4 linked regions of the Alligator mississippiensis genome follow. The protein of the gene in region 1 interacts with the protein of each later gene in a pairwise test. Links are inferred from orthologs where the notes say so. Each region holds a gene or a part of one and is shown on either strand. Other genes may lie near its edges. The genes, in order: nuclear protein 1, STX18, RAN and MPHOSPH6.

The links.
Region 2: the proteins of nuclear protein 1 (region 1) and STX18 interact in a two-hybrid assay, tested with the Homo sapiens proteins (2 studies listed by BioGRID and IntAct). The link is inferred for Alligator mississippiensis from reciprocal best matches to the Homo sapiens genes NUPR1 and STX18.
Region 3: the proteins of nuclear protein 1 (region 1) and RAN interact in a two-hybrid assay, tested with the Homo sapiens proteins (2 studies listed by BioGRID and IntAct). The link is inferred for Alligator mississippiensis from reciprocal best matches to the Homo sapiens genes NUPR1 and RAN.
Region 4: the proteins of nuclear protein 1 (region 1) and MPHOSPH6 interact in a two-hybrid assay, tested with the Homo sapiens proteins (2 studies listed by BioGRID and IntAct). The link is inferred for Alligator mississippiensis from reciprocal best matches to the Homo sapiens genes NUPR1 and MPHOSPH6.

Annotation. Positions count from the first base shown.
Region 1 is NC_081830.1:821,144-828,724, forward strand, and holds nuclear protein 1, read right to left. Parts: upstream 2,772-7,581; 5' UTR 2,651-2,771; coding exon 2,548-2,650; intron 2,234-2,547; coding exon 2,094-2,233; 3' UTR 2,076-2,093; intron 1,487-2,075; exon of another isoform or gene 1,482-1,486; 3' UTR 511-1,481; downstream 1-510. Other genes in the region: SGF29 (SAGA-associated factor 29), read left to right, coding at 3,455-3,700, 4,188-4,346, 4,590-4,665, 4,948-5,020, 5,118-5,182, 5,693-5,822, 5,913-6,059, 7,199-7,234 and 1 more. UniProt on the Homo sapiens protein: Transcription regulator that converts stress signals into a program of gene expression that empowers cells with resistance to the stress induced by a change in their microenvironment.
Region 2 is NC_081825.1:28,609,216-28,617,145, reverse strand, and holds the start of STX18 (syntaxin-18), read right to left. Parts: upstream 3,013-7,930; 5' UTR 2,946-3,012; coding exon 2,784-2,945; intron 1-2,783. UniProt on the Homo sapiens protein: Syntaxin that may be involved in targeting and fusion of Golgi-derived retrograde transport vesicles with the ER.
Region 3 is NC_081833.1:9,575,020-9,582,660, reverse strand, and holds the start of RAN (GTP-binding nuclear protein Ran), read right to left. Parts: upstream 3,010-7,641; 5' UTR 2,884-3,009; intron 2,571-2,883; 5' UTR 2,564-2,570; coding exon 2,528-2,563; intron 499-2,527; coding exon 414-498; intron 322-413; coding exon 196-321; intron 1-195. UniProt on the Homo sapiens protein: GTPase involved in nucleocytoplasmic transport, participating both to the import and the export from the nucleus of proteins and RNAs. Switches between a cytoplasmic GDP- and a nuclear GTP-bound state by nucleotide exchange and GTP hydrolysis.
Region 4 is NC_081833.1:70,633,811-70,641,552, forward strand, and holds the start of MPHOSPH6 (M-phase phosphoprotein 6), read right to left. Parts: upstream 3,012-7,742; 5' UTR 2,962-3,011; coding exon 2,905-2,961; intron 1-2,904. UniProt on the Homo sapiens protein: RNA-binding protein that associates with the RNA exosome complex. Involved in the 3'-processing of the 7S pre-RNA to the mature 5.8S rRNA and play a role in recruiting the RNA exosome complex to pre-rRNA; this function may include C1D.

The sequences.
Region 1 (7,581 bases):
TCAGCCCCATAACCACATGGACTGGGGCCACAAAGCGGGGAGGGGCCAGGAGGAGAGAGGGGGTGATGGGATGGGTCCACCTGACCCATCAATGACCCTTAGGTGATCCCAACAAATGATCCCATCCATAGCTCCACCTACCAATAATGGCAACCCAATCCTAAGCAAGGACACCAAACCTAACCCAGCCAACCAATGACACCAACCCAACTCTAACAAATGACCCCACCCCTAGCCCAACCCAACCCACCGATCTCCTTCCCTCAGGGCCTTCCCCTTCAAACCCTGTACACACATCCCTGGCAGGGAGGGAGTCTAATTAGGGTGACTTCCAAGGTTCGTTAGCAGTAATGAGACAACGGGCATCCGGCCTGTGGGGGGAATAAAGGCATTTGAGTTGACCTCCTGCCAAATGTGTGTGTGTGTAGCCCTCAATTGGGGGGCTAACCCCTCCACTACCCACAATCCCTTGGCCCCTCTCATTCCTGAAGAAGTCTCAAGAAACATGAATTTTCTTCAGAACTCCCCCCCATTTTATTGACTATTTTTCACCCCGCAACAGTGCCGGGGCCAGAGGAGGGGCAGCTACAGAGCTACCCACCCCGTGCCTTTCCTCACCCCTTTTTGACCACTCTGAGCCCCCTGGGACCTGAGGTTCCCCTGTATCCAACATGGCTGCCGAGTCGGGGTGGGTTCACTGGTTGTCCTGGCGATGGTTTCAATATGGCCGCCTAGGCCAAGAGTTTCCACTGGTTGCCTTGGTGATGGTTTCAATGTGGCTGCCTTTTGCAAGGGGTTCCACTGGTTGTCTTGGCAATGGTTTCAATAGGCCGCCTTTGCCAAGGGCTCAAAATGGCTGCCCAGACAAAGGTGTTGAGCATGGTTGCTATGGGCAGGGGGCCAATATGGCCGTCTTGGCAACAAAGTGAACATGGCTGAAATGGGGATGGTTCAGTATGGCTGCCTGGGCAGCGGGGGGGGGAGTGTCAACATGGTCACCATGGTGATGGTATCAATATGACTACCATGAGGAGGGTCAATGGGGTTGCCCAAGAAAGGGGTGGAGTTTGGTTCCTATAGGGGGTGGTCAAAATGGCTACCTTAGCAACAGGGTCACCACGGTTGCCATGGCAATGGGATGAACATGGTTGCCATCAGAGGGGTTCAATATGGCCACCCTGGCAATGGGCCCAAGATGGTGGCTGCAGGGAAAATTCAAAATGGCCATCTTGGTAATGGGGTGTCTAGGACTTCCAAAGGGGGGGTTCAAAATGGCCACCCTGGCAACAGGTTAAACCTGGTTGCCATGGGGGGGTCAAAAGGGTCGCCTTGACAACAGGGTCACTGAGGTCACCGTGGCAATAGCGAGAACATGGCCACCAGGCCCAATGGGTGGCAGCCATCTTGGTGTGTCTGTCCGTGTGTCCGTCTCCGTGTCGCCGTGTGCCATGGGGTCCGGAACCGGGTTCGCTAACGAGGCTCTGAGCTAACGAGGGGGGTGGGGTTAGTGTCGGCCATCTTGTTCCCTGCCATCCCCCATCCAGCCTGGCGTTGTGGCTGGCGGCCATCTTGGGCCCCATTACCACCATTTTGTGCCCACCCCAGTGCTGTTCCCCATTGCTGTGGGTGATGATGGCCATCTTAGCTCCACTGCCATGCCTTATGGTGGCCATCTTGACTCCTGGCCCATGCCTAATGGTGGCCATCTTGGTTATTACTTCCAGCCCCCTGCCATGCCCAAAGGCGGACATATTGACTTCTACTCCCACCTGTTTCCATGCCTAATGGCAGCCATCCTGATGCCTGGCCCGCTTCCCACAGCCTTGCCTTGTGGCAGCCATCTTGCTTGCTGCTCACCTCACTATTTCTGCACCCAGTGGCGGCCATCTTGGTTCCCAACTCTTTCCCCACTGCCGTGCCCAAGAGCTGCCATCTTGGTTCCCGCTCCCATCCCTAATGCCAGGCCCCGTGGCGGCCATCTTGACTCCTGCTCACTCCCCCATTCCCATCCCCCATGGCGGCCATCTCGGTTCACGCCCCGCTCGTTCCTGCGGGCAGCTGCCATCTTGACTCACCTGTGGGCAGGGCTCCGCTCACTCCTTGCCCGCCCGGCGCCGCTCCGATCGCTGCAGCTTGGTGGCCAACTTGCGCTCGTGCCCAGCTGGGCTGGGCCGGTTCGTGTGGGCTGCTGCCTCCCGCTTGGTACGCCCTTTCCGGCCTCTCCCATCAGGCACTGGGATGGCGGGGGGGGGGACACAAATGGGGAGGGGTCAGAGTTGGGTGTCCCCCACTCCCACCCGCAGCTCCCTGCACCAGTGCCCCCGCCCCCGCCCCGCAGCCCCCCACAGCAGTGCCCCCGCTCCCGCCCCGCAGCCCCCCACAGCGGTGCCCCCACTCCTGGGTGCTCTGGGAGGGGAGCGCGGAGCAGAGGGGCGGGAGCCGGACGCCTGGAGCCTGGCTGCCATCTAGTGACTTCGGACTTTATAGCCAGACTTTATAGCCAGGGATCGGGGCAGGGGGGGCCGGGCCCGGACGCTGGGTCCTCACCCGCGTAGCGCTCGGTCAGGCTGTAGTAGTCGCAGGCGTCCAGGTACCGGCCTTCAAAGGGCGTCGGGACCAGGCGGGCGGCATCAAGCCGGGCCGAGGCCATGGCCTATTGCAGGCGGGGTCGGGGGTCCTCGAGCTGGGGGTCCCTGGGGGCGTCGGTCTGTGCAGCAGGGGCTGCGTCCGGCTGTCTCCTGGGGCTGTTTGTGTCTCGCTGGGTCCTGCCCCCCCTTTATAGACCAGGCCCCGCCCCCATTGCATCATCCGTCTCCCCCCCAGGCACCCCCCCCCCCCCCCGTTCCTGCCCCACCCCCAGAACCTTAAAGGCACAGGGGGGCCCCACTGCTGACCTGCATCGCTCCCCACGGCGGTGCCCCCACGCCGAGCCCGCACCCCCCTACGGTGCCCCCACTCCCGCCCGCCCCGCCGGCCCCCGGCCAAGGTACACATGGGGAGAAAAACAACCTCGGGTCACGAGGGGAGACTGAGTCAGGACTCGGCTGAGCCCTCCCCCCCCCCCAGCCCTCCCCCCCCCTTATTGCCAGGCCTGATAGAGAGGCGCCTGAGCTGGGAATCATTAACTGGGTGCCCCCCCCGCAGCCCCTTCTGCCCACAAGAGTTTGTGGGGCTCCCCCATCAGACAACCCAGGGGGCCGGGCTCCCAGAATCCCCTGCTCCCACCCCCCAGGAAAGGGGGGACCCCCCATATTACAGGGGTACGGGGAAGGGGGGGCTATTTTGGGCAGGGTGTCGGCGCAGGATGGGCGATGCTGCACGTGGGGGAGCGGCTGCAGGTCGGGAGTGAGGGGCACCGCTGTTGCTGAGCGCTGGGGGTCGGGGTTTCAGGAGCGGGAGGGGCCGGGGAGCTGAAAACTACAACTCCCAGGAGCCCCGGGGAGACCCCGGCTCTATGGCGCAAGAGACTGGAAGGGCAACATGCGCGATGCGCATGCGCTGTCGTTCTGCGTGGGCCCTGGTGGCACTGTGCGCATGCGCAACCTCAAAGCGCTTCCTCAGGGACTGCAAGTCCCAGGCTGCCTCGCGAGCTTGGCTCCGCGCAAGCGTAGTTGGGCCCCGCCTCCCGCTGCCGCCCTGGGAACGTGGAGCCGCTCCTTCGCCGCCGCTTCAGGTCCGGTCCCGCCCGGAGGGCCCCGCGGTGCGTCTGGGCCTGGGGGCGACCGGGGGGCAGGCAAGCGGGGCCGGAAATGGGCGGTGGGGGGGCGCGAAGGGGGTGTCATGGTAAGCAGGTGAATGCGCATGCGCAGCTTGGAGGGGACGCGGGTGATGGGAGTGCGCATGCGTATTCGGCTTCTTGGACCCCCCCTCCCCCCGGTCCCAGGGCATTGTGGGAGTGTTGCCAACCCCACCAGTCCCGAGGCATTGTGGGAGTATGGACAACCTGCCCTCTGGCCACATGGCATTGTGGGAGTGTGGCCAACTGCTCCCTGTCCCAGGGCATTGTGGGAAAGTAGCAAACCCCCCACTGTGGGAGCATGTCCTTGACTCCCCCTCAGCCCCAAGGCATTGTGGGAGAGTAGCTTACTGGCACCGCAGCCCCAGGGCATTGTGGGAGATAGGCCATAAGTCCCCCCTCCAGCCCCAAGGCATTGTGGGAGCGTGAGCAACTCTCCTCCCCACCGCAGGGCATTGTGGGAATCCAGCTAGCCGCCCCCCCGACTAAACCTTCCCGCCGGGCGCCCCGCAGGCCCCGCCCTCTCCCGGCGGCCATGGCGCTGGTGTCGGCCGACTCGCGCATCGCGGAGCTGCTGGGGGAGCTGCACCAGCTCATCAAGCAGACCCAGGTGAGCTTCCCAGCATCCTCTGGGGTGGCGGGGGCCTTTCCCAGCATCCTCTGGGGTGGGGGGGGCCTTTCCCAGCATCCTCTGGGGCAGGCGGTGTGCGGCCGCCTCCCTGGGGCAGGCAGAGGAAGGAGCTGGGGGGCAGGGGGAGGTGTGTGGGGAGGGTTGTCCTATCCCCGCCTCCTACGGGCTACCCCAGAGGCTGCTGGCGAGGGGGCGGAGCCCTGGTAACCCCGCCCCCCGCAGGAGGAGCGTTCCCGCAGCGAGCACAACCTGGTGAACATCCAGAAGACCCACGAGCGGATGCAAACGGAGAATAAGAGTGAGACCCCCGCCCCGCACGCCTGGGTGCTTCCCAGAATCCCCCAGGGGTGGGGGTGGGGGTGGGGGAGGGGTTACAGCCCAGCCCGGACCCCTGGGTTTCTCCTTCGATGGGTCTGGCCCTGGACGCCTGGGTTTGATCTCCGATTGCGGGGGGGAGACGGAGCCTGTACGCCAGGGTTCAGCGTAACACGAGGTGGGGGGGCGGGCCCCCGGGTTCAATCAAGTATTGGGGGGGGCCGGACGCCTGGGTTCTGAACTGCACCCCCCCACCCCCCTGCAGTCTCCCCCTATTACCGCACCAAGCTGCGGGGGCTTTACACCACGGCCAAGGCGGATGCAGAGGCTGAGTGCAAGTAAGTTTGCCTCCCCTTGCCCCACCCCCACCCCAAATCCCCCCCCCCCCACTAGCGGTCACTAATGTCCCCCCTTTCTGCCCCCCCTCCCACACAGCATCCTGCGCAAGGCACTGGACAAGATCGCCGAGATCAAGTCCTTGCTGGAGGAGAGACGCATTGGTAAGCAATACCTAATCCCCTCCTCTCCCCCGGGACTCCCAGAATCCCCTGGGGCCTGACAAGAAGTGGTTGGACAGGGGCATTCTCCCCCGGGGCTAGTGGGGGTCTCTGGAGGGTATAGAAGCCTGGAACTCCCAGTATCCCTTGGGACCTGATACCTCCCAGAATCCCCTGGGGTCTGACAAGGGGACACAGACTTCCCAGCATCCCCTGGGACCTCAGCTGTAGGGGTCTCTGGGGGAACTGCCAGAATCCCTTGAGGTCTTGGGGTCTCCAGGGTGGGAGAGGGCCTGGGATATCCAAAAATTCTTTGGGGAGGGACAGGGGATGCGGGGTGGCTGGGCACAGACCTCCCAGAAACCCCTGGGGATATTGTGGGGGTCTCCCAGAAGCCCCTGGTACATAGGTCTCTCCACCGGCCCTGTTTCCCACAGTCCTGTGCAACGTGGATATCCAGGGACGGGGAGGACCCAGAAACCTCACTCTTTTCTTTTGCCCTCCCCACAACAGCGGCGAAGATCGCGGGACTCTACAACGACTCGGAGCCGCCACGTAAGACCATGCGCCGGGGGGTCCTCATGACCCTCCTCCAGCAATCGGCCATGACGCTGCCTCTCTGGATTGGAAAGCCCGGCGAGAAGTGAGCCCCCCACCTCTTGCTGCTTCCCCCTGCCCTGGGGGGCGGGGTTCATAGCCCTCCCCCACACCCCTAACTGCCCCCTGCTTGCAGGCCCCCACCTTTGTGCGGCGCCATCCCAGCTGCCAGTGACTACGTAGCCAAGCCCGGGGACAAGGTGGCCGCCCGGGTCAAAGCTGTGGACGGGGATGAGCAGTGGATCCTGGCAGAGGTTGTTAGTTACAGCCACGCCACCAACAAGTGAGTGGAGGGGAGTCCAAGATGTCCACCATGGGGTGGGACTTGCCAGCCTGGCTGCCAGGATGGCGAGGGAGGGGGGTTGGAGGGCTTCCAATATGGTTGCCAGGTCCAGGGCCCATCCAATATGGGCACCAGGGTGAAGGAGGACGGATTGGAAGACTTCTAATATGGCTGCCAGGGTGATGGCTCCTCCAAGATAGTCACTCTAGGCAGCCATGGGGGGTGGGGCGGGGGGAGGGATGACACTATGATACTGGGTGTCCTAGGGGCCACTCTAGCCAGCCAAGAGGGAACGGCATCTCTATTACCTCACTAGGGGGTTCCTCTGGCTGGGCAAAATGGTGACTCTATGGTGCTGGACCCCCCCTCCTCCCCCGGGGGCCCCTCTAGCCATCCAGGAGGGCAATTCTGTGGTCCCCCGATGACCTCGGGCCCACTAGCCAGCCAAGATGGTGATTATCTGGTGCTGGAACACCCACCCCCGGGTCCACTCTAGCTAGCTAGAGGGAAGTCTCTGTGGCCCCTGCACCCCGAAGGGGCATTCTAGACAGTCAGTGTGGGGCAGCTCTGACCCTGGCGCTTCAGGAGTCGGCTGTAGCAGGGCTCTCTCTATGACCCCAGTTTTCTAGGAGGCCAGTCTAGGCAGCTAAGGTGGGTGACTCTATGGTACTATGGTCCTCCCAGGGGACACTCTAGGCAGTCAAGAAGGGCTGAGACTCCAGGGGCACATTCTAGCCAGCCAGAAGGGCTGTCTCTATGCTAGCACTTCCAGGGGACCACTCCCCAGTTAAGGTGGATGATTATGGTAATAGGACCCGCCCCCCCCCGGGCCACTAGCCAGCTAAGGAGGCTGTGTCTATGGTTCTGGGTCCTCAACAGCCCGCTGCAGCCAGCCAGAAGGGCTGTCCTTATAGCCCTGGCATGCCAGAAGGCCACTCTAGCCAGTTAAGATGGCTGACTATGGTATTAGAACCCCCAGGGGCCACTCTAGGCAGACAAGGAGGCTGGCTCTATGGTGCTAGGTCCCCCAGGGGCCCATTCTAACTAGCCAGAAAGGCTGTCTCTGTGACCCTGGCCCTTCGGAGGGGGGGCCTCTATCCAGCTAAAGAAGGCAACTCTATGGTTCTCCTTGTCCACAGGTATGAGGTGGATGACATTGATGAAGAAGGAAAGGAGTAAGTGACTCCTCCAAAAGTGGGGAGGGGCGGGGGCAGGGCCTACCTTGGCCTGACCCTGCCCCCTTTTGCCTGCCCTGCCCCGCCCCGCCCCCACAGACGTCACACGCTGAGCCGACGACGCATCATCCCGCTGCCGCAGTGGAAGGCCAATCCGGAGACGGACCCTGAGGCCCTATTCCAGAAGGACCAGCTGGTGCTGGCGCTCTACCCCCAGACCACGTGCTTCTACCGTGCCCTGATCCATGGGCCCCCCACCCGGGTAGGTACCCCCCATCCCAGGGACTGCCTGTTAGGTTGGCCGGAGGAGCCGTGGCAAAATGGCCGCCCTGTTGGCACTAAAGAGC
Region 2 (7,930 bases), on another chromosome or scaffold:
CAAGGCGCCCCCGGGGGTTACAAGAAATAATGGCCACAAGCTAGCAGAGAGCAGATTTAGACTGGACATTAGGAAGAACTTCTTCACAGTTCGAGTGGCCAAGGTCTGGAACGGGCTGCCAAGGGAGGTGGTGCTCTCCCCTACCCTGGGGGTCTTCAAGAGGAGGTTAGATGAGCATCTAGCTAGGGTCATCTAGACCCAGCACTCTTTCCTGCTTATGCAGGGGGTCAGACTCGATGATCTATGGAGGTCCCTTCCGATCCTAACATCTATGAATCTATGAATCTATGAATCACACACCCGGGCAGGATGTGAGGTGCTGTGGGTCAGGAGTGAGGGGCAGCAGCCAGGCTGAGGGGGCTGTGGTTTGGGGGTGAGGGGAAGACAGACACAGAGACACCACACTGCAGGTAAATCTGTGGAGGGCAAGGGGCATGGGGGAGGGAACGGGCATGGGGGTGGCAGATCGAGGCTCCCATGGTGAGGAAGTGAGTGGGGCAGAGGCATGTGCAGGGGCTGGGGTGAATGGGGCCCCAGGGCTGGGGTGGGTTATGGGACATAGCCACAGCTTGTCCAGAGGCGTGGGGGGGCGCTGCTCCCGCCACTGTGCGCACCCCTGGGGGAAGCATGGGAAGCACGTGCCCCCTGGATTTGTGGCTGGGGTGGAGGTGGGCTGCTGCTATGCGCTGCGCTCCATGCTCTGCTGCCGTTATCCTGGGAGCCATGATACACCATGCTGTGCCTCCTGCTGCCAGCCAGGTAGGGGACACAACATTGCCAGTGCGCAGCTTCTGGGGCAAAGGCAGTGGGGTGCAGAGCTCGTCTGCAGCGGCAACCCGCCTCCACCCCACACATAAATCCGGGGGGCACATGGCCCCTGTGCCACCCCCAGGGTGATTGCAGCAGGAGGAGTCCCCGCCACCCCCAGTTCCCATGGATGAGCCATGGCTCTGCCCCATGACCTGGCCTCAGGGACCCATTCACCCCCGCCCCTGCCCCACTCTCTCCCTCACCATGGGAGCCCCAATCTGTCCCCCTCCTCCCCCTTCACAGACTTGCCTGCTGGGTGCTACTCCACTCTACATGTGGGTGCTACTCCACACGCCACCAAGCTACTTTCCTGGCTGAGTGCAGGCTGCGGCTGCATTTCTGTGTGTGCTTCTCTCCCCTGCTGCAGCTGCCCTGTGGTCCTCTGCTCTGCCACCACTGCCCATGGGGCGGCTTGGAGGCAGCAGTGATGGGAGCAGAGCATAGCCGAGGCGCAGGCTCCAAAACCACGTGCACGATTAACACGTTAAAAAAATTAACACCAACGATTAATGCACTAATCATGATTAACTGACAGCCCTAATTTAAACCAACCTTTTACAGATGTCCCCCGATTTTGTAAACTTCATGTTATGGCGGCCTGACTTGAAAAAGCAGATATCTAATACTTAACACTCAAAATTAGTATATTCTTAGGCCCTTCATCTTTTTATACCCCAGTTCCTCACCTTTAAATGAGGATAATACCTTCAAGTGTTAATGCTTTGTCCTTGCATTCAGATACTGCAGGAACAAGCAGCAAAAAACTAAGCCAATGAGGGAATTAATCATTCTGTCTTTAACACAGGATTTGAATCATGTGCAATAAATACAGCAGGAACCACTCGCTAGACACGAGGCACATTCCCTTTGGTGCCATGAGCAAGGTAGAGTCACATGGGAAGAAGCATGCGATTGCAGTGCACGTGTTGGGGGGGCACACCAGGCCTGCATAGACAACAGCGATCCAATCAGTTGTGATGATTAGCTTTGCAAGGGTGGGTGGGTGGATGGGAAAGTGAGTGTGGTAGGGTGAGTGTGTGGTGGTGGGCGTGTGTGTGTGTGGCAGGGTTTTGTGCATCTGTGTATATACATGTGGCAGGGTTTTGTGCGTGTCTGTGTGTGTGTGTGCAGCAGGGTTTTGTGCGTATGTGTGCATGTGTGGCAAGGTTTTGTGTGTGTCTGTGTGTGTACGTGCACCAAGGTTTTGTGCATGTCTGTATGTGTGCACGTGTCCATGTGTGGCAGGGTGTGTGCTCATGGTAGTCGTGTGCGTGTGGCAGGGATTTGTGCTTGTCTGTGTCTGTGCATGTGTGGCACGATGTGGGGGGGGGTGTGCACATGCATGTGGCAGGGTCTTGTGCCCGTCTGTGTGCGCACGCATGTGGCAGGGTTTGTGCTCGTTTGTGTGTGTGCATGTGTGCAGGGTTTTGTGTGTGTGTGGCAAGGTGTGTGTGCACGCACGCGCATATACAGCAGGGTTTTGTGGGTGAGTGTGCACGGGTGTTGGGTGAGTGCAAAGTGGGATTTTGTGTGTGGCGGGGTGTACGAGTGGCAGTGTGCGCGCAGCGGGGGGTGTGTGTCTGGCGGGCAGGGTGCGCAGTGAGGTTTTGTGCATGTCTGTGTGCGCATGTGTTGCAGGGTGTGTGTGCGCGTGCAGGTGTGGCAGGGTTCTGGGTGTGTGTGTGCGTGGCAGGCAGGGTGCGTGGAGGGGTTTTGTGCATGTCTGCGTGTGCCGGTGTGGCAGGGCTGTGTGTGCAGCCAGACGGTGCGCGGAGAGGTTTCGCGCCCACCCGGTAGGGAGGCGGCCGGGCCGGCGGGGGGCGGGGCAGCAGTGCCAGGTCGCCCCGGTGACGTCACCGCCCCGCCGAGCCCGGTGGCCTCCGCGCCAGGGGCGGGGCCGGGCTTAAAGGGGCCGCGTCCCCATTCCCGCCGCGCCCGGGGGCCCGCGAGGCCCTTTCCCGGCCCGCACTCACCACGTCGCGGGCGCGGGCGGAGAAGTCGCTGCGGGGCCGCGGCCCCCCCCGGCGCAGCAGCTCGTCGCGGGCGCCGTCCCCCGCCGGCAGCCCCAGCGCCTTGTTGCGGGTCTTCACCGTCTTCACGCTGGCCTTGAACAGCAGCGTGATGTCCACGGCCATGGCGGCCCCGCCCGCCGCCGCCGCCGCCGCGCTGGCAGCCGGTGCGCGCCGCACACTCGTCCCCGCGCAACGCCGCCCCGCGCGCCCGTTCCGCCGCCTCGCGCGGCCCCGGCGGGGAGGGGCAGGCACCGCCCCCGGGATCCCGCCCAGCCGGCGCAGGCCCCGCAGCGGCACCCACCCCGCACGGGACCCCCGGGGCGCCGCCCTGGCTAACCAGGCCTCGTCTCATGTCGCGTGCCCCGCTCAGGCCCGGTCCAGCCGCTGCCCCCCCGGCACCAGCAGCCCTCAGGCGGCGGAGCGGCGGGCGAGGCCGCAGGTCCCGGGAGCGAGGGGTATCGGAGAGCCGGCACCGGCAGTGTCTGGGACCCGGAGGCTCGACCCCGGGCTGACTCGAGTGCCCGGCGCTCCGGCTCCTCGGCCGGCGGCGCTCGCACGTCTCCAGCACCAAGCGCCCCGTGCACCCGCGCTGGGCTTTTGGTTTAGATAGCGTATAAAGGGGAAAGGCTGGGGCCTGGCTGCTGCCAGATCATCCTCGGCCATCCTTGCTGGTAGGGCGCTGACCTGGCTGGCAGAGCTGTGCCAGCTGCCTTGAACGACAAGTTCCCTGCAGAGACCATGCCCAGGCCATTTACAGCCAAGCTGCACCAGCCACAGAGGGTGATCTTTTCATGCTCCTGTCCAGCATGACAATGCTACCAGGTTCGGCCAGCAGAGCCACATCCTGAATTTGGGCCTTGCTTGCACTCAAAAGCTTTGCCAGCTTACCGGTACTGGGCAAACACCCTCCTAGTGCAGATGCAGGTGCGTCTATTTGCACAAACATTTTTGTTCAAAGTTTTTTTACTCATTGAAGGTGAATTAAGCTTTATCAGCAAAAGCGCTTTCTGCCTCTATAACTGCCTCTGTACTACAGTCTCTTTTCTTTGGGTTTTTGTTTTTGTTTTTGGGTTTGTTTTTTTTAATCAAATAGCTATGTTACAAATGGAAATCATGTCCCTTGCCCATGCAGTTATGCTAGCAAAACTTTTAAATTGACAGGGTGAGCTGACTAGGGATGGATATCTACCCGTCACTTGTCAGCTGTCCTATTTGTTTATGGCAGACATCACCAGGTGGCGCTGTTGGATATGGTCTTCCCAGTTCTTTTCCTTATCTTGTGAAGAGGTATAAGATTCAGTGTTGGGGATATACGTGGATTAGTGTTGGTTAGTTCAGTGGTGTTCAACAAATGAAGTGTCATGAGGAGTCATCAAGGGGGAAGGAGAATACAAAAGCAGAGACTTGCGATTAACAAAGGGTCCCTCCCTTTTTCCCGTCCCTCCCCATTTTGCTCCCTGAAAGGGGTCCCCATCCCTGGCCCCCGGGAAGGGTCCCGAAGGCCACCATGGACTGAGGGCATACCAGTAGCCCAGCTTGTGCCCACTGGAGGGGCGCTGTGGGCCTCAGCATCCCACTTCCAGACTGCTGACACCCAAGAAAGAGCCTCAGAGTGGAGCCTCCATCCTGACCAGATGTACTTTGATGACAGCCCTAGGACTGGTAGATACAGAATTGTTTGATTGTTGGTATTGATGCTTTTTTGTTCTTACTCTGTATCAATAAATTAGCCTATTATCAACTGGCAGGTGGTGTGGTCGTTCTGAGGGTTGTGCCCGCCCAAAACAAAGGTATAGGTGCTGGGTCAAATCCAGTGTCAACATGGACAAACCCCAGCTCTGCCCTGCACCCTGTCCTGCGCTGGCTGGGCAGTGCCTGCTCCAGCCCCAGGCCCAGCTTCTCTCCCTCTCTCACCACTGGGGCCTTGATCTGTGTTCCCCCTGCCCCCACACCCTTTCCCTCCCCCACCCCTTCTACTGCAACAGACTTACCAGCTGCATGCAGCTCTCCAAGTTGCCGAGCTGTGCTCCTGGCTGCCTATGTGCTGCGCTGTAGCTGCACGCATGCATGGGCATTTATCAGCCAATTTATCAGCCACATCAGGCCAATTTCTGATACACTCAATTTTCTTTATATCGGTGCCGATCTGTTATTGCACCAATGTATCAGTGCACCTCTAATTTGCATGCTGGAATTGAGCCTTGCACACCTTGGCACTTCATGCCAACTGCCCAACCTTACGCACTGAGATTGGACCCCGCATCACTCCTGCATGCCAGGATCAGGACACACATCATCCTTCATGCATGATCTAGTGTGTAGGACTGTGGAGCTTCCCATGGGTTCAGAAATTTGACAGCAGGGGAGTAGGCACCATTTCCGCATCACCAAATTTCCAGATCCATGGGGAGCCGTGCAGGCCAGATGACACAGCTCCAGGCCAGGGCTGAGTACCTCTGGACCTGGCCCACAAGCCAGGGTTGAATACCTCTGGATTAGTCCATTATGGTAGAATTATTATTTGGGAACCAGGCATGGTGTTGGACTGGCCTTGGAAGAAGGAATTGTATGCATGTTCTTCAGGACTATGAATATAGCTGAGAAATAAGTTATGTTTAAAATATTTCCACTGGACTGGATTGGCCTGGAAATCTGATCTGGAGATCTGTTAGCATTCAACAGAAGAGTCACGTTGGTATCAGGATGGTGCAAAAGTAAAATGCCCCATGAATTGCAATATAGTGTTTATAGCAATTTAGTGGGAAGTCAGAAGACTGCTTTAAATAACCTTTGTTATTATTAATATTGCTGGAGCAAATTCATTCCTACCACCACATGAACAAGTAGCTATGCTTTGTATATGAGGATCTTCTAGACCAAGAGCCATATGGATTCTTACCTAGCTGCCACACAGACTCATAGGAGCCCCGAGCAAAAGCTGTGCCATTTGACCCTCCTCCCTTCCCACCCACTCATTGGATGACTTGCAATAACAGCTTGGTTAGAGATTCCCTTCACCTTCACCTTGGTTTTCAGCCTTAATATCAACTCTACTAGCTGTGTATGTGGGTTTTGTAGTTCCAGCCTCCAAGCAATGTTTTTACACTGAAGAGAGAAGGGAGTGTGGAAGTGGTGTATTGCCTGGAATCTCAATGTGTTCTTTAAATTCAGCTCTAATTCCCCAGACCACTTCTGACACAGTCCCACAGGGAGTCCCCTAAGTGTAAAACTTCAACACAGGTGTCAAAATACTGCCTCTCTCCATAGTAAAACTGAACTTAATCCAGGCTCTTCATAGCTGCATAAAAAGAGTCAGGGTTTTTTCTGTTACTAATTACGATCCTGCTTTAGTTTAAAAGTTGAACATAACCCTAACTAAAGCATCATTAGTGCCTCCTCCATAATTATGCTATTAGTAATTTTAGCTATTTTACTTTTCATTCATGTTGTTTTACTTATTACTCTATTTGTCATTCTAGACGGAGGGTTTAGTGTGACACTAATAAGTATTTTCAGTAAAAAAAAGAATATGCAGTTAAAGTCACTGTCCTCGGTGCTGGATTTATAGTGAGAAAATATTTAAGGTATTAATCAGGTGGGTGCCAAGGGAAACTAGATTTATCATTCCATGAATGCTACCGGTATGTGTGTGAACTAGCAGCCAAATGCCTTTAAGAGCAATATAGTATGGGGCTACTTTAGCAAAATATGTATTTAATAAAGCCTGGAATTCACACATGGTATATTAGACATTTTCAGGTATGGTCCTTTAAAATTGCCTGTTTCCACCTTCCTTTGCTTTGCTAAGAATAAAATAAGCATACTTAATGGAATTCCAGAAATGTCTCATTGATCATACTGTCACCCCCAGGACGGAACTCTTTGTAGACATTTTTGACACACAAATCTGCTGTTGCCAAGTTAAGATGCTTCTAATGGGCCATAATTTCTGCCACTTTTTCACTAAATTGTGCCTTCCTACACAAATAGCCCCATTAAAATGAGCAGAACTGCTTACGTTGGGCCACACTATGGAGTCCTTACTTTTATAGACATATTAGCATATTAATATTATTATTGTAAGGACATATTGGTTTAGAGAGCACACAAACACCAGTAGACTCTGCCTATGCCTGAAAAAGGGTGTTTGTGCCCAAAAGCTTGTAAAGAACAATTTTTCAAACTACAGTAAAAGTTGAATTAACTGGCATTTTACCAGCTGGAATACTCTATTATCTGGCATGAGCATCAGGTATTTCTTGAGTGGGGGCAAGGGTAGCAGCTTCCCTCTGTAGGCTGCACAGATGCCATCTGGATAGCTGGACATGGGGGTGGGGAGGAGTTTGTATGTAATGGCCACTGCTGCCATCCACCACCCAACGCTGCTGCCACTGCCATGTGCAAGCCCAGATAACCAAAATTTTTACATAACTGGCACCCTCCTTACCCCACTCATGCCAGATAACAAAGCTTTTACTGTATTTAGTTGGTCTAATAAAAGATACTACATTTACCCAAAGAACTTTGTTTTGCTCTTGTAGAAGAATTTTCACAAAAGATAATCCTATCACAGACTGGGGTTACTTGTGTGAGTAACTGCTCAGCACTATAGAGGAGACATTTGTAGTTTAACTGACATTAAAGTATTACTAAAAAGATAAATAATAGAAATGTTTCTGTGAATTTTTCTTATGCTTCTGGAATCTGATCCAAAGCTCAAGGAAGTCATCCTTTCCACTGATATCAGCAGGCTTTGAATAAGACCTGTTGCTATTTATGTTATTAAGCTGCATCTTTTATGGTTTTAGACTGTGGAAATGTAAAGACCATCCTGTGTTCAGAAACAGCATCTTACTGGTACTTATAGTCATAGCCATAATCACTGCTTTTCTTTATTAGGTACTTTTCAATAAATGGTATACTCTTTGTGATTGGAATGATGCTTATCTATTACTGCTGACAACTGGCTGTTATTTGAGAAATTCCAATAGATGTAGAAGCTAAGGCATAGAGGGTCTTGGCAATGATGGAAACAGAGATTGGCAAAGCAGGTTTCAACAACCAAAGGCAAAATAGGTTTTAAAAGGCATCATATAATTTAGGTCCTG
Region 3 (7,641 bases), on another chromosome or scaffold:
CTTTCTGGGCAAAGTCTGCCTCGAGAAGTCTTGCACTGTTTTGAAGAGCAAGTCAACTTAAATGCCGTTACTATTATGTCACACCAAATGCATAAGCAATGGTCCACTGCACAAGCAACTTTGCAAAGCTGTCAAAGATGACAAAATACCTAGAAGTCTGCTGCAAAGCTAATGAATAGTGTTTGTAAAACTTACCCTGAATATAGTAGCCATCTCGCAGGCCACCAAACTTCTCCTGGCCAGCCGTGTCCCATACATTAAATTTAATAGGCCCTCTGTTAGTGTGAAACACCAGAGGATGGACTTCAACACCCAGTGTTGCTGCAATAAAACATTTCCACTTTAAAAAGCCTGCCAACAGTGTTTTAAACTAAACTAGCACTAGGATTCTCCATGCAAATGTTTAAACATACCTACATACTTCTTTTCAAATTCACCAGTCAAATGACGTTTTACAAATGTTGTTTTGCCGGTACCACCATCACCAACTAAGACAAGCTGTTGAAAGATTTCAAAACACAGATGAAGGCAACACGTTTTAGGAGCTTCCTGTAAACTACTGAGGCATCAGTCAATTTTAGGTAGTTTTTTTAAAATTACAACTCTAGGCCCTACAAGTTGTTCTAGGCAAGGAAGGTTAGTTAGACACTCACTTAAGGAGCTCCCAAATATGGCCTGACTAATATATTTTACTTCTTAGAATGGCTTTAGTGTTGTGTGCTTGTTACATGAAGTCATATTCTAGTCTTAAATTAGGTTCTGCCACTTATGCATTACTAAGTATCCAAGGGTGACTTGGTGGCAGCCTCTAAGTACTGAAGGGTTGTGCATCATGACCTGGGGGGACACCTGTTCACCAGAGCGCTAGGGATGACAAGATCACAAACTCATGCAAGACCGTTTTAGGCTGGACAGAAGGAAAAACTTATTTACTGCCTGAGCCCCCAAGGCCTGGAATAGACTCCCCCCAGGGTGGTACAAGCACCTACTCTGGACTCTTAAGAAATACTTGGATGCTTATATGCTGGGATCCTTTGACCCCAGCTGACTTCCTGCCCCTTGGGCAGGGGGCTGGACCCAATGATCTTGCAAGGTCCCTTTCAGCCCTAATGTCTATGAAACTCCAGATTAAAGGGCAGACAGGTCAGTGACTAGCACTTCCAAACTATTTTTATTAGCCTGAAGAATGCATGTTAGAACAATTTTTTCTTCTCTTAAAAAAAACAAAAACCAAAACAAAACAAAAAAACCCCAGAAATTGGCTGGGTTCGTCAATGTGGGTTAAGCACTGAAATACTGTAGTGCTAGACTGGTCCGTGTCAGCTATTGTATCTTTTGTTTTAGCTTGAATCATGAAAGGCATCAGGATGAGCTCCATTAACAGACTTCTGGCTTCCACGGCACATCTTAAAATTATTCAGGTTAAAAAGGAACGTAAATCAAGACTTGTCCCATGGAAGGCTACAAAAGCCGTGGAGAGCTTAACTCAAATCGAGATTTTTCCATGGCTTTTACAGCCTTCCGCTGGACATCTTAGTTTTAAAGGTTTATGATAAAAAAAAAAAAAAGTGCGCCAAAAAATCATGGCTTGCCCTGTGGAAGGCCACAAAAAGCTATGGAGAAGTCTTGATTTTCCATTCCTTTTCTAACACTGAAGTTAAAAAGATGACTCGTGTCTCGTGGAAAGCTACAAAAGCCATGATCATCTCCATCGTGTTCCTTTTTTTAAGGTGAACCATTAAAATTAAAGGTCTCCATGGCTTTTGTAGCCTTTCACGAGACATCTTTTTAATTGGCTTGTGTTAAAAAAAGGAACGCGATCAAGACGATCGCGGCTCTTGTACCCTTCTACCAAAGATCTTTAAAATTATTCGGGTTAAAAAAACGTCAATCAAGACCCCTCCATGGCTTTTGTAACCTTCCTCTGGACAAGTCTTGATTCATATTCTTTTTTTCAAAACCACAAACCATTAAAGATGCCCCATGGAAAGCCACAAAAAGCCACGGAGATGTTAAACTTTAACTGATTCGCGTTAAAAAAGGAGCGCGATCAAGACTCCTGCGCCGCTTTCCACAGGGCGCCCCGATGTAAAATGAGGAACGTGATCAAGACTCGTCCGGCAGCTCCAGGATGTCCCTCGAAGGCCGCAAATTGAAAGTGGGTTAGAAAAAGAAACACGATCGGGACTCCTCCGTGGCTTTCGCAGCCTCCCAAGGGGCACCTTAATTTAAAATGGGTTAAAGAAAAAAAAGAAACGCGATTGAGACTCCTCCGCGGCTCGCGCGGGACCTCCCGATTTAAACTCCTCCGGGTTACGAGGAGCGCGACGGAGACGTCTACATCCGGCGAGCCAGGAGCGTGAGGAGCACTGCGGCGTCCCCCCGGCCGCGGATGGAAAACGTGAATGAAAACGAAGAGCTAGGAAAAAGAAAAGAGCCGTACCCCTCCCCCTCCGCCCGAAAAGATAAAAAGCTCAGGGAAGAGAGCAGGTGGCCCCGGGCGGGCGGGGGAGAGGCGGCTCCTTACCTTAAACTGCACTTGGGGCTCTCCCTGGGCGGCCATGCTGGGTCTGCGGGAGGGGACGGAAGCGGAGTGAGGCGGCGGGCGATGGAGGCCCGACCGCGTGCGCCGCGCCCGCCCCTTCCGCCGCGCCTGTCCGGCCGGGCCCATTCATCCTCCTCCCGCCCCACAGCCCGGCAATGGCGGCCGCGCCCCCGCGGGCCTCCCGCCACCATGACTGAGCACAGCACAGCCGTGCCGAGCCGAGCCGCCTTCCCTCCCCCTCCCCCACTCCTCCCCCTCACCGCGGCGCAGGCCGCACTAGGCCCCGCCGCAGCCCCATCCGCGCTCCCGCCCGCCCGCCGCAGGGGGTCGGCCGTTACCTTGCCGAGGCGTCTGTCCGCGGCGCTGGGCTCCGTGACTGGACGCAGGGAAGAAGATGGCGGAAGCGCGATTCAAATACCCGGAGAGCGACGCGGCGCGGACACAGGGCGGGCGAGGGAGGGGCCGCGCTCACGTGACCGGCGCCCGCCCCGCGCATGCGCCGCGCGCCCAGCCCAACCGCCGCCTGGCGCTCGTTGGTCGCGCCCCGCCCCCTTCTCCCCCTCAGTTTTTCCCGCGCGCGGGGAGCCCGCCGTGAAGCCCCCTCAGGGCGGCGGGGTGGGAGAGTACAATCAGTAAAAAGAACTGGATCCTTTCGCCCTCTTATTTCGGCGGGCTCCTCAGACCCCCCCAGTCGTCTCCTCTCATGGCCTCCCTCCTTGTCCTTCAAGATGCTCCTTCAGTCCGTTGTGGTTGTGCCCCCCGTGCTCGTTTGATTTCCCTCCGTTGGGGAAGGGGGGCACGAAGCAATGCAATCGATAGGAGATGTCGCACAACAAGCTAGGGGGGACAGGGCACGAATGACAGGAAACTGAGGGAAAGAGACTGGAAGAATTAGGCTTTGGGTTAGGGGAGGTAAATAAGAGGATGTCAAGGCGTCCGGGTTCGTATGGACAACCGGACGGTCCTCCGCGATGCCACCCTAAACCGAACAGCAGCTCCGTGCGCGGCACCCAGCTTCAAAATGGCTGAAACGGGTTTAAGATTAACCTGGTTGCACGTGGTAACAGATTTAACTGATTCGGGTCAAGTTGGTTTAGGAAACTTTTGTCCCAGAAAACTGAGGGGGGGGGTGCATAACGCCTGCAGGGCACCTAGAGGGGGCAGAGAGACGAGCTTTTCTCCTTGACCCGAGGGCAGCGTTTCAACCGGCGGGACGTGAAGGTCACAGGCGACGTGTAGAGGGTGCACAGGGTGCATGTGCACCCCCTGAGATGGGTGGTGCACCCCTGCGATCGGCTGCCGCCACCGCCGCTAGCAGCACCGGTGGGCAGTCGCTGCCCGCCACCGGCAGCGGCGTCTGTAGGCGGTCGTGGATTGCTATTGGCCGCTGCTGGTGGTGTCTGCGGGTGGTCGCTGGCGGCTGGTCCGTGCTTGCCACCCCCACTGACACTGACACTGCCGCGGCTGCCTGCAGGAGCTCCCTGTGACCGCTGCCCATGTGTAGGTGGGACTTTTCTCAACAAAATTATTGCAATTTTTAATGTCCCTAAAGTGCGTGTAGACGTAAAAATACACTTCTTGGGGAAAAAAAGTGGGGTTTTGTTTTTATCGCGGTGGGACCAGGGTTTTTTGACAAAGTGGTTGGTGGGACGTAAGGTGCAAAATGTTGAGAGCTGCTGCCCTAGGGGACAGGACTGGGAGCAACGCCTCGAAATGCAGCAGGGAAAATGTACAGATTAGTCGGGATTTTCTGGCACTGTGGGTGGCCAAGCACTGGCACAGGCTGCCGAGAGAAATTGTGGCATCTTCATCCTTGGAAGTTTTCAAGGGCAAGTTAGACAGACACTTGGCTGGGATGGTTTAGTCAGGAGTGTTTCTGCTTTGAATAGGAGGCCGGACTAGATGACCTTGTGATGTCCCTTCCAGCCCTACTTTCCTGTGATCCTATGAAGTTTTAAAGTATTTCAGATCCCTTGGGCTGCACAAACATAGTCTGCTACTTCTTATTAACCCTATGATGTTCACTATGTTTAAAATCAAGATCTGAAAAAAGACCTTGCAGTCCGTTGCAGCTTTTGTGTGCTATAAAACTCCACTACGAATGAAAAATATTTCCGTTTTCTTTTGGTAAAATATCACAACTTTACATATTTCTCTTCCCCTGTAATGAGATCATTAAATCAAACCTTTCTTCCGAGAGCTGAGACCATAAAACACATTACTGTAGACTTAAGAGAAGTAGTAGCCCTGTTGGCCTAAAGTCAGGCAGAAGTCAGGGTGGAGATGCACCTTATAAACTAACTGAAGTGTTGCAGCTTTTGACAAGGATACAGATACTTCCAGGAAATATTTTGGTCGATCACTTTATATTGGTTAAAAGCCATTTGTAAGATTCCCCAAATATTGTTCTGAAATAATTAACTGATTTTACTACGGGCATAATAGTCACATTGTAATTAAATAAGCTAGTTAAACTTATTAAATACTTTACAATGCTTTACATATCAAGTGCAGTACTTGATCTTAATTAACAAAATACACAGTAAAAATCACAACTATATTTCTTGGAATAATAAACTGAAAAAAGTAAATGCGACTTCATCCAATCATACAGGTTGAGAGGTAGAGAACACGCAAGACTTGCTGACGAACAGGAAGGGATGTTGTAGCGCGGATTCTAAGGAGCCCCTTTGTCAATGAATAGGAACATAACGTTTCTCCTCATGGATCAGACCTGAGGTTCATCTAGTCTAAAAGGGGCCAATTCCAGACGTCTCAAAGGAATGTATAAAACGATTTTACTGAAAACCCTGGAGGACAGCTGCAGGATAATCTGCCCTTCACATATGAGGTTTCATCCTCTAATATTGATTTAAATCTTAAGGCATAAACATCCCTTCCAAAGTACTTATTATAATTAACTAGCCAATTGCCCATCAAGAATGATGGGGGGGTGGGGCTGGGATGGAGCGCCCTCACCTAACGACCCATGCTGCCACTCTTCTGCGACTTGCAGGGAGCAGGGTGGGAGAGCCAAGGCCAATGCTGTTGCCCTCAGCTCCCCCACCCTCTGTCCAATCCTCGGCATGGCTTTGAAATCATGACAACGCTCCCCCACACTTGGAGCACTCTGATTGGCTGTTTCCATCAGCCAATGCTCCAGGACCATGGTTGTCATGGGTGACTTCAATTACCCAGACATCTCGTGGGAGGATCGCTCAGCAAAATCTGAGCAGTCGCAAAGCTTCCTCTCATGGATGACCTCTACCTGACTCAAGAAGTCTATGGGCCAACGAGAGGCAAAGCGCTGCTCGACCTGGTACTGGCTACTGGGGATGACCTAGTCGGCGACCTAGTGATCGATGGGAAGCTGGGTGACAGCAACCACGAGCTGATCACCTTCACCATCCGTCAAAAAGCTGGCAAGTCAGTCAGCAACACGGAAGTCCTTGACTTCAGGAAGGCCGACTTTGACAAGCTCAGGAGGCTTGCCAGTGAGGCCCTAAGGGACCGTGACCACAGGGAGAGGGGAGTTCAAGAAGAGTGGTTGCTTCTCAAGGGAGCGATCCTCAATGCACAAACTAAGTCTATTCCATCTCGGAGGAAAGGCAGCAAGAGGGCACAGCAGCCCCCCTGGCTCTCCAGGGACCTGGCAGACCTCCTGAGGCTAAAAAGAAAGGCCTACAAAGGATGGAGGATGGGAGTCACCTGCAAGGAGGATTATTCTGCACTGGTCCGGTCCTGCAGGGAGCATACCAGGAAAGCCAAGGCTGCAACTGAACTCCAACTAGCTTCGAGCATCAAGGACAATAAAAAGTCCTTTTTCAGATATGTGGGGAGCCGGAGGAAAAGCAGGGGCAACGTTGGACCCCTGCTGAACCAGATGGGGCAACTGACAACTGATGCCCAGGAAAAAGCCAACCTATTAAATGGGTACTTTGCATCGGTCTTTCAACAGTCCCATGGGACGCCCATGCCCGCTACGGGACAGGGAATTCCGGGTGAGGGTGATCCCCTGCCCTCCATTAATGCTGACCTCATGAAGGAACATCTTGAGAAGCTGGATACCTTCAAGTCAGCCGGCCCTGACAATCTACACCCCAGGGTACTCAAGGAGCTGGCGAGCATCATTGCCCAGCCTCTAGCACGGATCTTTGAAAACTCTCGGCGCTCTGGTGTAGTGCCTGAAGACTGGAAAAAGGCCAATGTGGTGCCTATCTTCAAGAAAAGGAGGAAAGTGGATCCGGCAAACTATAGGCCCATCAGCCTGACTTCTATCCCAGGGAAGATCTTAGAAAAGTTTATTAAGGAGGCCATCCTTAATGGACTGGCCGACGCCAACATCTTAAGGGATAGCCAGCATGGGTTTGTCGCGGGTAGGTCTTGCTTGACCAATCTAATTTCCTTCTACGACCAGGTGACCTATCACCTGGACAAGGGAGAAGAGATTGATGTCCTATATCTTGACTTCAAAAAAGCCTTCGATCTGGTATCTCATGATCACCTCTTGGTGAAACTGGCCAATTGTTGCGTTGGGTCCACCACGATCCACTGGCTGGAAATTTGGCTCCGTGTTCAGACCCAGAGGGTAGTAATCGATGGAAGTCACTCATCATGGTGTCCTGTGACCAGTGGGGTCCCCCAAGGCTCTGTCCTTGGACCCATACTATTCCACATCTTCATTAATGATGTGGACACTGGAGTCAGAAGCGGACTGGCCAAGTTCGCCGATGACACCAAACTTTGGGGCAAAGCATCCACACCAGAAGACAGGCGGGTGATCCAGGCTGACCTGGACAGGCTCAGCAAGTGGGCGGACGAGAATCTGATGGTGTTCAACACCGATAAATGCAAGGTTCTCCACCTTGGGAAGAAAAACCCGCAGCATCCTTATAGGCTTGGCAGTGCTACGCTGGCTAGCACTATGGAAGAAAGAGACTTGGGGGTCATCATTGACCACAAGATGAACATGAGCCTGCAGTGCAATGCTGCAGCTAGTAAAGTGACCAAAACGCTGGCTTGCATCCATAGATGCTTCTCAAGCAAATCCCGGGACGTCATTCTCCCCTTGTACTCGGCCTTGGTGAGGCCGCAGC
Region 4 (7,742 bases), on another chromosome or scaffold:
ACCAAAAAGATCCTTTTTGGGCAGCTTGCATTCTGTTAAACCACACACATCCGTTTCATTTCTAGTTGCTACTACTCAGACTTTGCAGGGTACTGTTCTCAAGTACCATTTTAGTGAAAGTCCTGAGACCATCTGAAGCTGCCTCCAGGGGGAAGAGCTGTCAAAAACTTTGACAGTTGGGGAAAAATCTACATTTTACAGGCAGCAAATAATCCAGCACTAAGAACTCCTCCACAGCACAAATTCTTCCAGGCAGGAATAAGCAGAATATGCCTCTGATCTTTTCCCAGTTGGACTTGGCCAACAGATATGGCAACAGGCGCCACACTGCACTTAGTGTTTATTAGTGAAATGCCTTAATTATAACATTACTATTGCTACATAGTGTTGCTAGTAGGTGCCTATTACTGTTCAAAAACAGTAACCTTTCACATGGACAGCGCAACTTTTTGCATGGCATAACTGCATTAAACTGAAAAGCCCTTTCAAGTTTCTTCTTGCTATTCAGCTATTAAGGAAGACAGACTGGTCATGGTTTTCTGAGATCTGTTAGTTATGGAAAACAGTTTGCTTTCTTAGCAGAGTTCACTCCACATGGATTACGGGTGGCCAGTCTGTGGCACATTGCAGATCGGTGAGGAATAGGAGGAGCAGATGGGGCAAAAAGCAGTAAGCAAAGCAGCAAATCAGGCAGAGAGGACTGGGCAAGTAAAGGAGCTGATCAGGAAGGGAGGAGCTCAGGGCTGGCAGTAGGAAGCAGAGCAGCAGACTGGGCAGGGGAAGGGGATGGGAGAGGCAGGCCTCCCAAAAAAGGTTGGCTCGCTCCGACAGATGATCGAACGGAGACTGCAAAATTCATCTCGCCACCCTGAAAAGAACAACACAAACCCAAATACAGCGTGGAGACATGGAGCACGTGAGCAAGCCAGTGCAAATGGCACAACTTAAATGAAGCAAACAAGCCATGAAGGCCCTGCTATATGGTCATAAATATTTAATGAATATTTATATTTTTAAAAAATTTATGGCAATTCAACTTCAATGTTGTTCTCCAGAAATAAAGAGATCATCAATCATGCCAGTATGTACTCTACAGAATTATGAGTTGTATTACAAGATGTGAACCAGAGTCCATTAGCCACTGAGCTGAGACTAATTTCACTCTGGACTTGACGTTGGAGTCTCAATTCCAAGGGCACTAGCTAGGTCAGTCTTTTAATAACATCTCTCTTTTGTGCTATATATTTTAGGAATTGGGGAAAATGGTTAAAAAAAAAATAAATCAAGACCACTGTAGGATATTCCACGAGCAATCAAAGTAAAAACAAACAGAAATAACGAAAGCAGGGATAATGCAGAGCTAGGATACACTCCACGCTAAAAAGATTCGCTCCAAATAAGGCACCTAATGGCCTATCTTAAGTTCAAAATGCAATGAAATAAAGAAGTCTAAATATTTCTGTTCATCACAGAGAGGCTGGCAGAGCTCTGACTGCACAGAAACCTCCTGGGGGTTGAAAACAAATTTTCAAACGCGCTTCAGGAAAGAAACCTTACTTTGCTTAGCGTGAGATTTGCCGAGATCACGAAGATAATTTGAAGTATGTTCTTGGACCAAAACAGCAGGCGCCTACAGTTTACAAAACCTCAAGACTTCCTCCGGGAATATAAGGAGGCAGCTATAGAGCGACAAATGCAGATAACATGGCACTTGCGAGTCGACGCCGTTAGCGCTGCTGTTTCATCGGGGTTATTATAGTCGCTCATTTCGTGGCCGCGTCGCCAAACCTCTGTCATTGCTCGAGTCATTACCAGGACAGACCGGTGGGTTTTTAGCCAAATCCCCTAAGGCCATTACTAGCTGGTTTATTATAGTGTACGGATCAAGATGTTTCTAGGGAAGTAGCATTAAAATACTGAAGAGTGCTGGATGCCCCAGCGAGGAAAAGTAAAGGCAAAACAACCTGCCGTTATCGTTGTCTTAAAAGGTCACTTTAAAAACAAATCCAGTATAATTAGAAGTGACCTGAATGGAAACAGATACCACCTCGGTCGTGCGGCCAGGCGAGGACTCCACGTATAAGGAAACGGTAACGCCAAGAAAAATAAAAATAAGGCTCTGTTCACCTCACGGCCGGCGGGGGAAACATGCCAACCGCTGCTGTTGAAGCGCAGCGTTGCTCTCAGCAAGGACACGGCCCGCGGCATTTCCAGGGGTCGGGGCTGGCGCACGTGTGGTTCGGCTACGTCGCCGGGTTTGGTCGCCGGACCACACGCGCTCCAGCCCCGAACTCATCCCGTCTGCGCGACTCGAACACAAATAACAGGCCGATGGGTCAGAACGATATCACCCATCTTCAGTCCTGACCCCGCGCTCGGATCCGCTCGCTTCCCAGCGGAGTCGTGGGTCGGCGGGAAGACGCAAGAGGCCAACAACACCTAACTGGGAGCGAGTCTGACGCCAAGTCCACCCGACACCCGCCGGGGACTGAACGCCCCACGCAGTCAGCACCGCGCAGCTGTGCCCCGGGCGCGAGGGGTGCCGCGTCCGTGCGGCCCCTCGACCGCCGCTCCCCGCCCGCAGCCAGGAGCGCTTTGAAGCCTTCCTGAAGAGGCTCGTGCCCATTTTTTGGGGTTGCTTTTACAAGACATGTCTGCAAGCCGAGTCCACAACCCGCACGTGGCAGACATCCTCCAGATTCGGGTATTTCCACCGTTTTGGTGGCAGGGCTCAGGCGGGAGGACCCCGTGCTGCCATCAGCACGTGGCAGAGCCCCTCACCCTCCGCCTGAGGGGAGGATTTTTCACCCCGTGTTGGAGGAGGAGGAAGGGAGGATCCTTCCACTCCATGTCATGGACACGGTGTCAGTCACAGCGCAGCCAACCCCCGCCATCGCGGCCCACCTTCATGCGCAGCAGGTTCTTAGACAGCCGCGGCTTCCCCTCGCCCGCCATCGCCATGACCGCCGGCCCCGCGCGCAGGCCGCGCCCCGTCCCCGCCCTCGCGTGCGCCGCGGCCCCGCCCGCGCCCCGCCCCGCTCGCACTCCAGCCCCCGGCGCCGCCGCTGCGCCAGGCCGCGGGTCATGATGGAGGACGGGGAGGGGCGGCTCAGCGCTATGATGTTTACAGTGAGCGTCTCAGGATTATGAGCTATGGGGGGGGGGGTTTCAATTATGATTGAAAGAGGAGTTTTAGGTGCGTGAATCATGAGGAGGGGTGATTTATAGCGGGGGTCTCCAAGCCGTGACTCGTAGCGGGGAAGGGTCTCGGGCCGTCGGCGAGGCGGAGCCAAGCCAGCCTGGGGTTGGCTCCCCCCGCCTCCAATTTTATATACTTCGATAATAATTTTATATATAATTTGGCTCCTCGTGTCGCTGATATTCATGAATTTAGACCAACACGGCTACAACCTGAACCCGCGTTCATTCAATGACACCCGGGAAGATTTGTTTCCACCTCCCAGTGCAGTTTTCCACTTTGATTTGTTTGAAAGTATGTTTCCGGGTTAGAGAAAAGCCTCAAGTCGCACATCCTCGCGTGTCCTGAAAATAAAAGCAGACATGTTCTGTATTGATGATTCAAAAAAAAAAAAAAAAAAAAAAGCATCCTGATCTGCGTGACTGAAAGGGTCTGAAAATTAAAAATCGAAGAATTGATTATTTAAAAAAAAAAAAAGGGATCTTTTGTTTTCTCATTTTTTTTGGGCCTGATTCATAATTTTTTTATGAAGCCTGGCAGTACTCCCTTAGGCCGCCAGGCTGAGCCCTTGAGAAGCAGTAGCTTGCAAAAAAAAAATCCTGGAGGAGACTTGTTACCTGACCTCTACATAAGCGAGCGCAGTGGCGTTCAACACATACTCAGCATCTTGATGCTTACTGTTGTAAGTACAAAAGGGGGGAAAAAAAAGAGAACGAGTTTGCTTTGTTTGAAACAGTCAGGACGTGGGGCACAAGATGTCTCTCAGAAGTGTAGCCACATAAGATTTGCAAAGTGCCTGGATGGGGGACCTGAGGACTGTGCACAAAGGTTTGAGTTTTGGCCAGGATTGGAGTGCACAAAATAGGAAGGAAGGGTCAAGGAAGTGTAAAAGGGGTCTTCACAGTGAAAAAGGAGGAGGAAAATAATTATCCACTACCCAGGCGCTTTTTCCTAGGCAACAGAGAAAAGCAGTCTCAAATGAAAAAACAACAGCAACCACTATGATGAGCCAGAGTAGAGCTGGATGTGTATAACCTGCATTTCAAATGTGCTGAGCAGTTGAATTGCAACTCTGCTTTCAAGCTACAAATGCATTTATTTTTTCCAAATGAGAATAGCTCACTCAAGCAAACAAGGGAGGGGAAATCCAAGTAATGAAAGATTCAACAGTAAACAGATAAAACACTTCACTTCTTAGGCGGTGGAGGGTTCTCCCAGGACTGCCAATGTCAAATCAAACTTGTAATTAACATTCTTTAAAAGATAGCCTCCCTTTAAACAACAGGAAAACTGTTAGTTCTTAAATGATCCTAATGAATTGTTTCTGTGCTCAGCTGGGTCCAGTTTGAGACAACGCAGAGGTTACCTACTTGGTAATAGTATTCCTTGACATATAAAGCATGCATTTATATTTCCAAAATTATTGTGATTCGAGTACAATATATGGATTTCAAGCAGAATACTGACCAGTGAATTGATTGGGGTTCCCTTCAAAATACCTTTGAATTCTGGAGTGCCTTTCTTAGGTCTTAGGATATTTTATACTGCTTTTTTGTCCCAGTAAAATTAAAACATTTAAGAGAGCAGAGTCAAGAATTTGTGCAAAACTTTTCAAGTATATTTTACAAGGATATAATGCATGTGCCTTAGAAGAAGGAAATGAAACTTAGAGGTTTAGGTGATGCTGACTTTGCAAACCTTAAAGGATAATGTCCCAAGAACCGTGTGTTGCATACGGCTGTCGTCCCCTAGATGCAGCTGGATCTGCTTAAATGCATCCACCATGTAAAAAACAGAAAATAGCATGAGTGGTAGAGGCCTGAACTTTTGAGACAGAAGGATTTAGCTTTTCTCTCTGTTACTGCCATGAAGTCCTGAGTGACTAATGTATACAGTTTAGTGACAATGAAGAAGAACCTAGTTGGTCAGGGAGTTGTTACACTAGATGTATAAATGCGTAAACTACTAGTCTTTGTTTGCCACGTATTCTGCTATGTACCTAATCTGCAGTAGATTGCAGCTCTCAGTTTGAAAGCTTACCTTGTTAGCTCAGACTCCAGAATCGTTTTTTAGTTTTGGAAGTGCCCACTTCAAGCCCTGGTGTTTGCTGAGATGGCAGTTCGTTATACAGGTACTTCTGAGCCTCATAAACCCCAGTCCTTTCCTTTGCGTATCCCATGGGTGTTAGTGGGAATTTGGGAATAGGACACAAAGATGAGGTATTAAGTCCTATATAGGAGTTAGGTTCATACAGTTATGAGGCCACAGACTCGTAAGTGCAATTTCATATTCTCAAGTGTTCGTGTTGAACCTGAGTTTCATTCTTGATGGTCTCGTGTAACCCTGCACCCTAAGATACGTTTTGAACATCGACACGATCGATCGAACGATCTTTGGCACCAAATGAGGCAAAGTGTCACAAAATGCCAAAGAGATGTGTTTATCTGAGGAAATGTCTGTTCTCTGTCTGGGAAATGCTAGCTTCTAAATGTGTCTGACAGCCCAGATGGTAGGATGGCTATTTATGTGTAAAAAATACAGTAATTCCTCTAGATAGTAGTAGCCTCAGAATAGTAGCTTCTCAATTTCCATGTCTTTCCATAGTCGTGGTGCTCTAAAGGCCTTTTATTCACTTGGCATGTCGATAAACATGGACACTTGGTCCCATGTTGCAATGGATTGACTATTTCCTAATACGAGGAGTCAGAGCAGAGAGACTGGCCAAAGAGCCCTTTGCAAAATATGCATCTCTTTGCGTGCCTTAAAATTATCTAGAGGGCCCTAACTTTCTGGATTTGCCATAATTACAATTAAAAGAGAAAAGGGAAATACTACAATCCAGTTTTAACTATAAAAAAGAAATCCGGCAGTAATGGTGATAGTTTGCAATTTCCCAGGTCAATAAATAGCTCCCTTGACTTTAATAAACATTGATGCTGCAGGCTTGTTCCAGCGTGATTGAACCTTTTTATAGTTCAGCCACTCACATTGTATGAAAGGCTGTTTTTTCTCCTTTTTTTTTTTCCAACAGGGTTGGTTCTGATTGATTAAATTGTCATTTTTTGAGTTAGTTGCTGAATTATAACATGGTATTTTTAACAATGTGATTTGTTTAAAGAGACAGCTTTTTGATATGGCAAACCAGCTGAGAATGTTTAAGAAGTAAAAGGAACTTTGACTCACTCCATGTTCTCAGCCTTTCATCAAAAAAGAACCCCAAAACAACGTGGAAGTTGTGGCACAAATGGAAGGTACACCAGGTTCAAATTCACTACTATATTTCACCATCAGCCTCATTGTTACATAATACTTGTGTACAGTTGCTATTCCATAGTGTCTGAGCACCTCACCATCTTTAACGTGCTTAATCTCTCTCTGGATCAGGGAAGTACTTTTAAGCCACACTTGACAGATGAGCAGTGGAAGCAGGAAGACTTGTTAAAACGCCTTGTCTGGTTGGTGACAAAGCAGAGAAGTGAGCGTAAGAGTATGTCAAACATATGCCGAACGGAGACACTCCACTATGTCCCAGATGTGAAATAGCTGAGCAACCTTAGTTCAGTACATATATCTACTCAGCTGAGTCCAAAGTTAGTACTTTAATCACTTTAATGTTCTACTAGGCAGAAAGTTTCAGCCCAAAATTTCACAATTGAGACAAGTAGGCAAGTATTTCATTTTACGTGGGGAGGACGAAACAAACGAGATGAAAAGATTTCCCCTAGACTGCATTCTGGTCAGTAGCGTTCAGATAGAGAGATTGACTGCATCAGATGGACAAAAAATGTTTTTGCATCAAAAAGATAAGAATTTCTGAACACCTCCATATTCCATTGAATTCACCTACTGGAGAGAGTGTCTGGTGTCTCTTAGACTGTACCTTCTTCTAAAGCAAGCTATCAAAGTTCATCATTTTGGTGCAAAGAAAACCATGTCCATGTGACGCAGACATTTTTTGTTCTCACCACCTGCTACACATTTTCTCCATATGGCTAGCTTTTTTGGTTCCAGGTCTTTGCACAATGTATTTTCCATGGCACCTGATTTATACCAGCGTTCCACGGGCAGAAATGCTGTAAATGCCTAGGATTCAAAATGGCAAAATACTAGTTTGGAATATGTTTGTAAAGAATTGGCAGCAACACTGTCTAGCTACAGCTTGTAACTGGGCATATTCTGCATAGGAGTTACAATGCTCATGGGGGAGAGACAATCTAATGGTTTGAGCAAGGGAGGCCTTAGGTGTCGTTCACCACTATGTTACTTCTTCTGGACTGAAATAATTACTTACAGCACTGAAATCACAATTTTCAAAGGCAGAAAGGAATCTCTACAATAGTAAATTAGTGAATACAAATGCGTTTTAGGCTTCAGACTCTAACTCTGCCATGGATTTGCAATGTCATTTTTTATTATTCCCTTAAACTCACTTTGTCTCAGTTCCATTATATAAACTGAGATATCCATCTAAACACACTGTTTTAAAATCTTTGGGTGAAGCGTGCTCTATAAGTGCACAGAATACATTACCATCATGAAACCA